Drosophila melanogaster: one gene and its partner. The protein of the gene in region 2 purifies or fractionates together with the protein of the main gene of each other region. This does not show direct contact. Each region holds a gene or a part of one and is shown on either strand. Other genes may lie near its edges. The genes, in order: ND-49 and ND-18.

Evidence for each region.
Region 1: the proteins of ND-18 (region 2) and ND-49 purify together in Drosophila melanogaster (affinity purification with mass spectrometry, with the first as the bait; one large-scale study listed by BioGRID). This does not show direct contact.

The regions. Positions count from the first base shown.
Region 1 is NC_004353.4:567,679-573,342, forward strand, and holds ND-49 (NADH dehydrogenase (ubiquinone) 49 kDa subunit), read right to left. Parts: upstream 3,877-5,664; 5' UTR 3,857-3,876; intron 3,113-3,856; exon of another isoform or gene 3,104-3,112; 5' UTR 3,018-3,103; coding exon 2,926-3,017; intron 2,856-2,925; coding exon 2,731-2,855; intron 2,666-2,730; coding exon 2,556-2,665; intron 2,499-2,555; coding exon 2,297-2,498; intron 1,624-2,296; coding exon 1,436-1,623; intron 1,379-1,435; coding exon 689-1,378; 3' UTR 618-688; downstream 1-617.
Region 2 is NC_004354.4:19,490,514-19,493,879, reverse strand, and holds ND-18 (NADH dehydrogenase (ubiquinone) 18 kDa subunit), read right to left. Parts: upstream 1,460-3,366; 5' UTR 1,344-1,459; coding exon 1,294-1,343; intron 1,204-1,293; coding exon 883-1,203; intron 824-882; coding exon 643-823; 3' UTR 543-642; downstream 1-542. Other genes in the region: CG12204 (uncharacterized protein), read left to right, coding at 1-472; pcm (pacman), read left to right, coding at 2,067-2,141, 2,201-3,295, 3,365-3,366. UniProt on the Drosophila melanogaster protein: Accessory subunit of the mitochondrial membrane respiratory chain NADH dehydrogenase (Complex I), that is believed not to be involved in catalysis. Complex I functions in the transfer of electrons from NADH to the respiratory chain.

The DNA of each region.
Region 1 (5,664 bases), on a different chromosome or scaffold from region 2:
TAAACCTGGTGATAGTTTGGTGCTGGTAATACGTTTTTTATATTTTGTATTTAGACACAATTCGTTTAAAAGCGTAAATACCATTTGAGCACGAGTCAATGATACATGTATATATTATGATATGGTATTCTGTTCCTAAAGTAATAGGTGTAGAAAAATATATATGTATATTATAATAAAGAAAAGTAGCTACAACTTTCTCGGTAGGCTAGCAGGTTTTTTCAATAGTGGTAGAATCAGATCCGAACATTTTCCAGTCTTTTAAACAGAGTGTCGAAACGAATAAGGCGAGTCTACGTGTATTTTTAATAATTTTTGTGGGTGATGTTATTCTCTAACATACCTATCAGCCCCAATTTTAAAATTTCTAATACCATATATTCATCATTTAATTTTTAGGTATATTGGGATTGGAGATAACTCATTTTCATCAAACATTTTTTTAAAAATGTGCGTGGGTTTGTGAAGTTCTTAGCACTGGCATTGGCGTTAGTAGATTATGCATGCTTAGTCTTAATTTTAATGTTTTTAGTTCCAGAGATAACGATAACAGAGGAAAAACTTCGTTTAACCTCTTACCAACTTTACAAGTAATTAAAATGCAAATAATTTATTTTATTTTGAACGTATTTATATTTATATATTTAAGCAGTTTCGTACAGAGAAGACACACATTCTCTAAAAACAACTAACGGTCTATCTCCCCAAATACGACATCCAAAGTTCCAATTATTGCAACGACGTCGGCTAGCATGTGCTGCTTTCCAATCTTCTCTAAAGCTGCCAAGTGAGCAAACCCTGGAGCTTTGATTTTGCACCGGTATGGACGACTGGACCCATCTGATATAAGGTAAACTCCAAACTCGCCCTTCGGAGCCTCTATTGCCGTGTATGTTGCCCCGGGTGGAACTTGATATCCTTGGGTAAATAACTTGAAGTGGTGAATAAGTGCCTCCATGGATGTCTTCATTTCGGACCGTGACGGAGGCGCCACCTTGGCATCATCCGTTTTAATTTCTCCAGCAGGCATTTGGTTTAGGCATTGATCAATAATTCGTAATGACTGGCGCATTTCCTCGACCCGGCAAAGATATCGGTCGTAGCAGTCCCCTTTGGTGCCGATGGGAACATCAAAGTTTACCAAATTATAGGCATCGTACGGCTGCTGCTTTCGAAGATCCCATTTTATGCCAGATCCACGCAACATAACTCCACTGAAGCCATAGTTCAAAGCTTCTTCTGCAGTTACGATCCCAATGTCCTCGGTCCGCTGCACCCAGATTCGATTTGTAGTTAACACATCCTCCACTTCGTCCAACCGCTCAGCAAACTTTGATGCAAACTCATAGATATCGTCCATAAGACCAAGAGGCATATCCTGACATACAACGTAAGACAATTAAATTATTTTTCAATATTCATGCGAATGCATTACCAATGACACCCCGCCAGGACGTATGTAGGCAGCATGCATTCGGGCACCAGAAACTCGCTCATAGAATTCCATCATTTTCTCTCGCTCCTCGAATAGCCAAAAAAATGGCGTTAGAGCACCAACATCTAAGGCATGTGTTCCGACGGCCATAATGTGATTGAGAATACGAGTAATCTCGGCAAAGAGAGCTGCGCAAAAAATAACAATTTCACATAATTATTACAAATTTACAATTTTAGTGAATGGTGAAGAAGTGGTGACAAAAAGTTATTTTTTTCGATCAATTTATATTTGGCTGGCTAAAATTCTTCAAGCGGTCCGACGATCATTAATTCGATAAGACCGTAAATTCATACCGTCCTACCAATGAGCGCTGCAAGTCAGTTTTCCCAGAAAAGAATATAATTTATAGTCTCTTCTAATTATCTTTTATATTACCCTGATATCTTGGCTCATTTTTCAAGCTTCGAAATATGTATGTTACATGGTTTGAGCAAGGACACTAGAATTATTCTAGTGTCTTTGGTTTGAGAGACAAGAACTACACGAACCATTGGTTTTAATATATTTTTGTACAAGAAAAACAATTTTCAGTGCCAAAAATAGTGGGTACTTTTTCATCTCACTTTAAATTTTAGATTAAAATAATTTTAATAATCAAACCCAAATTTAAAATATTTTTTTTTTGGTAATCAAAAATTAAATAGAACTTTTAAAAAGATTTTGTTGCGTAAGATTTATGGCGATGGTGACAATGCTAAATTATAATATATATATACATATATTAAAAAAGCGAAACTATTGAAATCTTCTTAATGACTACAAAGTCAAGAGCAAGAGAAAATTACTTTGTATTCTTACTTCGAATGTACTTAGCACGGAGAGGCACATCAATATTAAGGAGTTTTTCTACAGCCAGAGAGTAGCATTGCTCGTTGCACATCATCGAGACGTAGTCCAGCCGGTCAAAATACGGCAATGCCTGGGTGTATGTCTTGTACTCTATGAGCTTTTCGGTCCCACGGTGCAGCAGCCCAATATGCGGATCGGCACGCATAACGGTCTGCAATAACAGAGGTTTTAATTTACACAAGACCTGTGGTCGATTAACAGCTTAAACCTCTCCATCCAGCTCCAGCACAAGACGAAGGACTCCGTGGGCGGCGGGATGTTGTGGGCCGAAGTTCAAGGTCAGATTACGCACCGACTTTTCGACAGGCGTTACTTTGCCTAGTAGAGGAGGTAAGTCAAGCGATTAGTTCAAGGGTCAGTTTAATATTGGGTTACCAACTAACTGTTCCATGGTGGCACTGTCCAAAGTGATGTGACCTCGTCTGGATACATCACCGGGCCGCTAAACTGCTTCATGAACTCAGGGTCTGGATACCACTTGGCTGCTCCCCGTCGCGTCTCCTGAGAACTAAACAACGAGTTTCCAATTGGACAAATATAAATGATATATTCGAATTATGTAAGCATTTACTATTTACGTTAACGCGGCCGATCCAGCTGCAACAAGTTGTGGCCGCAGCCTCAAGTGTGAAAGTCCAGGAATCAACGTTCTTCTCATTATATTGGCCATCCTGATAGTCAAATTCCTCTATTTATGTTTCTTTAGTAACAATTCAGGAATCTAATACAACCAAATAGTTATCCGCAATCGGAATTCTATCCAAAAAATATCGAAAATTACTTTAAACACCGAATCTCGTACAGCTTATATACTATTTACACCAATAATATATCGCAGGTTGTTGCTTCATGAAAATGAAGTGCAAAACACATAAATTCCCTTATATATATTACACACTTTGTCATCCTGCTCGTTTACCCAAGTTTTTATTTATCTTTATATAATGTTATAAACAATAATTGCAATTAATTTTTCGAAGACCTGAATTTTACATCATCCCAATGAAGCGAATTTTGCGTTAATGGAGCACTATAAAAATATAATTACTAGAGATAATAATGATAGCTTCTGCAAGGCTAAACTTATATATCTTAGCAGTATCTCAGCAGAGCGAATGTGGACATTTAATGACTAAAAACAACGAAACTATTTAAATTCTTTAATTAACAATTGATTTCTGGACTTTTCGTCCGATGACTAAACTTAAGAAAACAAAATTATGAAAACTCTTTTAACTTGAACAAAAATTTTATGCAGTCAAGAACCGGTGCTAAGAGATAGTAACGTAAAAACGGATGATCGGACAGACGGTAGTGCTGACTCGGCTCTTGATACTGACCATATATATATTTACTTCAAATTCTTAACTCTTTCACTGGGTTTCAAACTTCTTACACCAATCAAAATAGGTTCGACACGGGTAATAGATAAATTTTAATAATTATAAAATTATTCTTAAAACATAAAATAGTGCTTAAGCCTAGCTAAAAAATTTACTAGGAACTTACATAATGGTTCTGCTACAACAAATGTCAAATAAAATCTTTATAAGACAGTTTCCTATCAATATGGTATGGTTTTTACTGTGAATATTACTTATAGTAGAAATTCGCATATGTTAAATTCAAAAAAAAAAAAAAAAACCAAACCATTTGACTTATATTATAAGATTATACGGGCCTTTGGAAAAAAATCGCTATCGATTGATTTGTAAAATTATCGATGCCCTTAAGTTTCTTTATACATCGAAAGTTAAAGTAAACATCGTTTTTTGTTCCAGCTCTAAACAAGTTTTTTTTATAGCTCTAGCTCTACAGTATTTATATAAATAATTCTTGTATGTAGTCCAAGTGTAGAAAAAACTAATTTAAATGAGCTGTTTTCGAGTATTTCTCTTCAGACAAAAACCTGTTTGGAACAATTTTTAATCATGTGAAAATGTAATTTTGAAAAAGATGTACCAAAAAAGGAAGACGGTGTTATGGGCATATATGTATATTTTGTGTTTTTATATGTCAACTATGTTATACCAACATATTTGTACCGGATTGTTAATCGTATCGAATAAGAATGTTTCCCCGAGAGTAAGATGTTTGTGTATATATAGAGTTTCTTCTGTCTCCTCGGAGAGTGTGTCGTCACTGTGTATGTATACAGAAATGTCTTTTGGTGTATACATACATATGTAATTGTATAATGCTGTTGGGATGTTTTATCACTTAAACATACAATTTTTAAGAAATATATTGATTGTTCCGTTATAAATTGAATGTCAAGAACTGCAGATCCGCTATATATTGTTGATCTTATGCCATGTTGATTGTTTATGACTATGAATGTTAAAAAATATATTAATATTTCGCCAAGCCATTACCAACCCTGTTTGTATAGAAAATGTACCATACATGTATTAAAATGTAGTATCCCACTTAAATTGATAATTGGTTTGCCGGCCTGTTAAATAAGTATTTTTGATCAATCAGGGTCGAATCAAATCAATTAGGCGGTTTCCAAAGTTAAAGCGAAGTACTTTTAAAAATCTCGTAATCTGTCAGGTGGCGGTAGTCAACATATAAATATTGTTGATCAGCATTAACAGCTGCTTATTTCGCCGACTGCCGCCGAACGCGGCGCAAACAGGATCCCTCAGTCTTAGGCTGTTTGTTTTAAAGATCAACTTGTATAAACTTTACATAAAAATATAAATACGCATAATATGCTACTGTTACATTAAAATGTTAACGCGTAATGATCTCAAAGCTTAGAATGAGTAGATATAATATGTAGTTAGATTTTGCAATGGGTAAACTAATTTCAGTCAGGATTGTCAACGAAGTAAAGGAGGAAATGTCAATAGAAGAACACATATTCTTGATCAGTTTACACAGCCATGTCGATATATTTTTTGTCTTTCTTTCCGTTTGCCAAACGACCTTCGAATTGAAGGTTGAAATCCTTTTATTTTGTAGTTCATATACATATACGGGTCGAAAAAGAATGCCGTTAAAGTATTGTTTCTTTTTTAACTGCCTAGTAAACTTTTTGACGAGATAAATTGAAAAGTATAATTCCGCTCTAAAAAAGTCGGGTTAAATTTTCTAAGAACCCTAGGTATTATATCAATTTCATTTTCAGTATCAAAATTTAATCTTGAAGAGGTGAAAACTAAGTCTACGTTAAAAAGAATACTAGACCTAAATCACAGATGAAAAAGAAACAATAATTTAACGGCCTTTTCAATTTAATTTTTTCGGATTGTTCCTATATATGCATATATATTTATATAGTGATATATATGCACAAAAGTTGTATTATT
Region 2 (3,366 bases):
CAGCCTGCAGATGCAGGCGCTGGAGAAGCAGTGGGAACAGGAGCACGGCGGGCGGCATCATAAGCAAGTCGACCGACAGGAGCACCGCGGACGGTATGTTGAGCAATCCCAGCAAAGGACGCAAACGGAGCGGCAACAGGATCACAAGGGACGACGCGATAAGCCAGCGGAGCGGTTTCAGGAGCACCAATGGCGGCACAACGAGCAAACGCAGCACAGGCAGCGGTACCAGGAGGACAGAGGGCGGCATAACGACCAAATGGATCGTTTTAAGGAGCACAAGGACCGAGGACAGCGACAAGAGCATCGGGACTGGCGCAACGAGCGCAGAGATTGGTACCAGCATCATGATGACAGCCGGAAGAGAAGCCGCAGTCCGAGCAGGCATCGACATGGCGATAGGCGTCGGGAGGAGCGAGAGCCACGCGAGAAGCAGCACAATAGGCATCGCTCCCAAACCGCTCGTCATTAGAGCGGCATGTGATGGTGCCGCTTCCATTGGCAGCGAAACTGGTGGCCATTACATGGTGCTGTGGTCATTTGAGTCCAGCCGACTGTTTATTTGGGTACTCAGATAATGAACAAAGCAAAAAAAAAATCAGATAATTGTGGTCTATAATCCTGGCTAGCTGCGGGGAGCGTCTACTTGGTGGAGACGCGCGTGCGCTTGTTCCAGGCAAAGTTGATGCCGTAGTTCTTGACGCGCTCCTTCTTGGGCTTCGCGGCGCCGTCGACGTACCAGCGCCATCCGTTCCGTTCGCAGAACGTGATGGCCTCCTCTGGGGATCCGAACTGCACGTTCATGTTGGACAATGGGTCGCCGCTGGAACACGAGACGTTGACCAAGGTTGCCATGGCATGGTGGACGTGCCAGCTACTCACCTGGAGGCCCAGCCCATGAGCGGATTCTCCCAGCGCTCGCGGTTGTCGAACTCGATTTGCCAGGTGTTCACGTTATCGGTGCCGCTCTGCATTGCGTTCTTGGGCGGAATATGGATGCGCACACGGCGCTCCCGAATGTGCTCCTCCGGAACGCCGCTGATCGGGCTGAGATTGACGGCAGTCGGCACGGTGATCTTGCCACTCAGCTTGTTGCGCTGCTCCAGCTCTTCGGGGCGGGCCAGGGCCGTCTTGGGGTCCAGCGGACCGCCGTCCGTGGCGGTGGATGCCCAGCGGGCAGCGGCTGCCCTGTTGGCCTGGTACCTGCGGTGTCAAGATGCGAAAGTGGATAATTAGAGGGCTGCAGATTTGCCAGGTCGGATGCACTTGCTCCGGCCAGGCGGGGGTACCTACAGCTGCAGGGAGGCGGTGCTTCTGCACATCACTTGGCGGAGGGCCGACATTTCGCTAGGCGTTTGGGGCTACACGGCAGAAATCGGCTTCAAAATACGAATTACGTAAAATTTGGAACACAAGCGCTTTTCGATTGGGAAAACAGCTGTTCGCCAGTGCCAGTGTGACCAGGCGAGCGGTGAGTGTTTTTATTCTAATTGGAAACAGTGTGGCCCCTCGCCTTGGATGCGATGCCACAATAGTTCAAAAACAGTTTTCTTCTTTTTCACTTCGAACTTCGCAAAAACTATGAAATGCTGTTCAAGTGGTAAAATGAACTTTAAAATGAAAATGAATGAAATGAAATACACTGATGATGAACTAGAGAAGTAACTAGAACTAAAACTATGCTATTTGTAAGCCAACTGTTTAAATGATGAGCATTGCATTTGCCCAGTGCTGCCAGATATGTAGGTGTTCTTAGCTCCTTTTAGCTTAATTTCACCATTAGCTGATTATTGGCAAAGGAGCCCGTTTCGCTTATCGATTCTAATATCGATTTGAATCGGTCAGGGTCCTTATTCTTTCAGTTATTCATCGAACTGCGGAATGCCGCCGGCCCTACCACATGGCAATAGCGAAACGTTGTGGCAACGCCTCGCCTACTTGCAACTTTTGTGTCAATCAATACATGTTGAAAACAGATAAAGACACAAATTTTTCAGTTCATCTAAATTGCCACTGATCCAGGCAGAACAGCACGGCGGCAGAACAGTCCCATCCAGAACAGCGACATGGGCGTTCCCAAGTTCTTTCGCTACATCAGCGAGCGATATCCGTGCCTCAGCGAATTGGCGCGGGAGCACTGCGTAAGTAAAGCTGCTAGGTCACGTTATATGTTGCCATGCACCGTACGGTTCCTTTGCAGATACCCGAGTTCGACAATCTGTACTTGGACATGAACGGCATTGTCCACAACTGCTCGCATCCGGACGACAACAACATACACTTTCACCTGGAGGAGGAGCAGATATTCCAGGAAATCTTCAACTACGTAGACAAGCTGTTCTACCTGATCAAGCCGCAGCGCCTCTTCTTCCTTTCAGTTGACGGGGTGGCTCCACGGGCCAAGATGAACCAGCAGCGCAGCCGGCGATTCCGGACGGCGCGCGAGGCGGAGCAGCAGGAGGCCAAGGCGGCCCAGCGAGGCGAGTTGCGAGAGCACGAGCGCTTCGACAGCAACTGCATTACGCCGGGCACCGAATTCATGGTGCGTCTGCAGGAGGGACTGCGCGCCTTTCTCAAAACGAAGATTTCGACGGATCCGCTGTGGCAGCGTTGCACCGTAATCCTAAGTGGCCAGGAGGCGCCCGGCGAGGGCGAGCACAAGATCATGGACTACATTCGGTACATGAAGACGCAGCCGGACTATGATCCCAATACACGACACTGCCTTTACGGCCTGGACGCCGATCTGATCATTCTGGGCCTCTGCACCCACGAGCTGCACTTCGTGGTGCTGCGCGAGGAGGTCAAGTTCGGGCGCAACGTCAAGCGCACCTCGGTGGAGGAGACGCGCTTCTTCCTGCTGCACCTGGGTCTGCTGCGCGAGTACCTCGAGCTGGAGTTCGACGCCCTGAGAACAGACGAGCACAAATTGGACATTGCGCAGCTTATCGACGACTGGGTGCTGATGGGCTTTTTGGTCGGCAACGACTTCATTCCCCACCTGCCGTGCCTGCACATTTCATCAAATGCACTGCCGCTGCTCTACCGCACCTACATCGGCATTTACCCGACCCTCGGCGGCAACATCAACGAGAACGGCAAGCTCAACCTGCGCCGCTTGCAGATTTTCATATCGGCCCTCACCGAGGTGGAGCTGGATCACTTCAAGGAGCACGCCGACGACTTGAAGTACATGAACAACAAATCAGAGGCGTTCGACATGGACGTCGGCGAGATCACCGAGTCTCAAAACCTCGACTCCGATCTCGGAGCCCTCATCAACAAGAGCATGCTGGTATGAACTCTCTGCACTGACCGCCATCCCGTCATTTCCGTCCGCTCAATGCCGCCTTCCCATCCACAGCT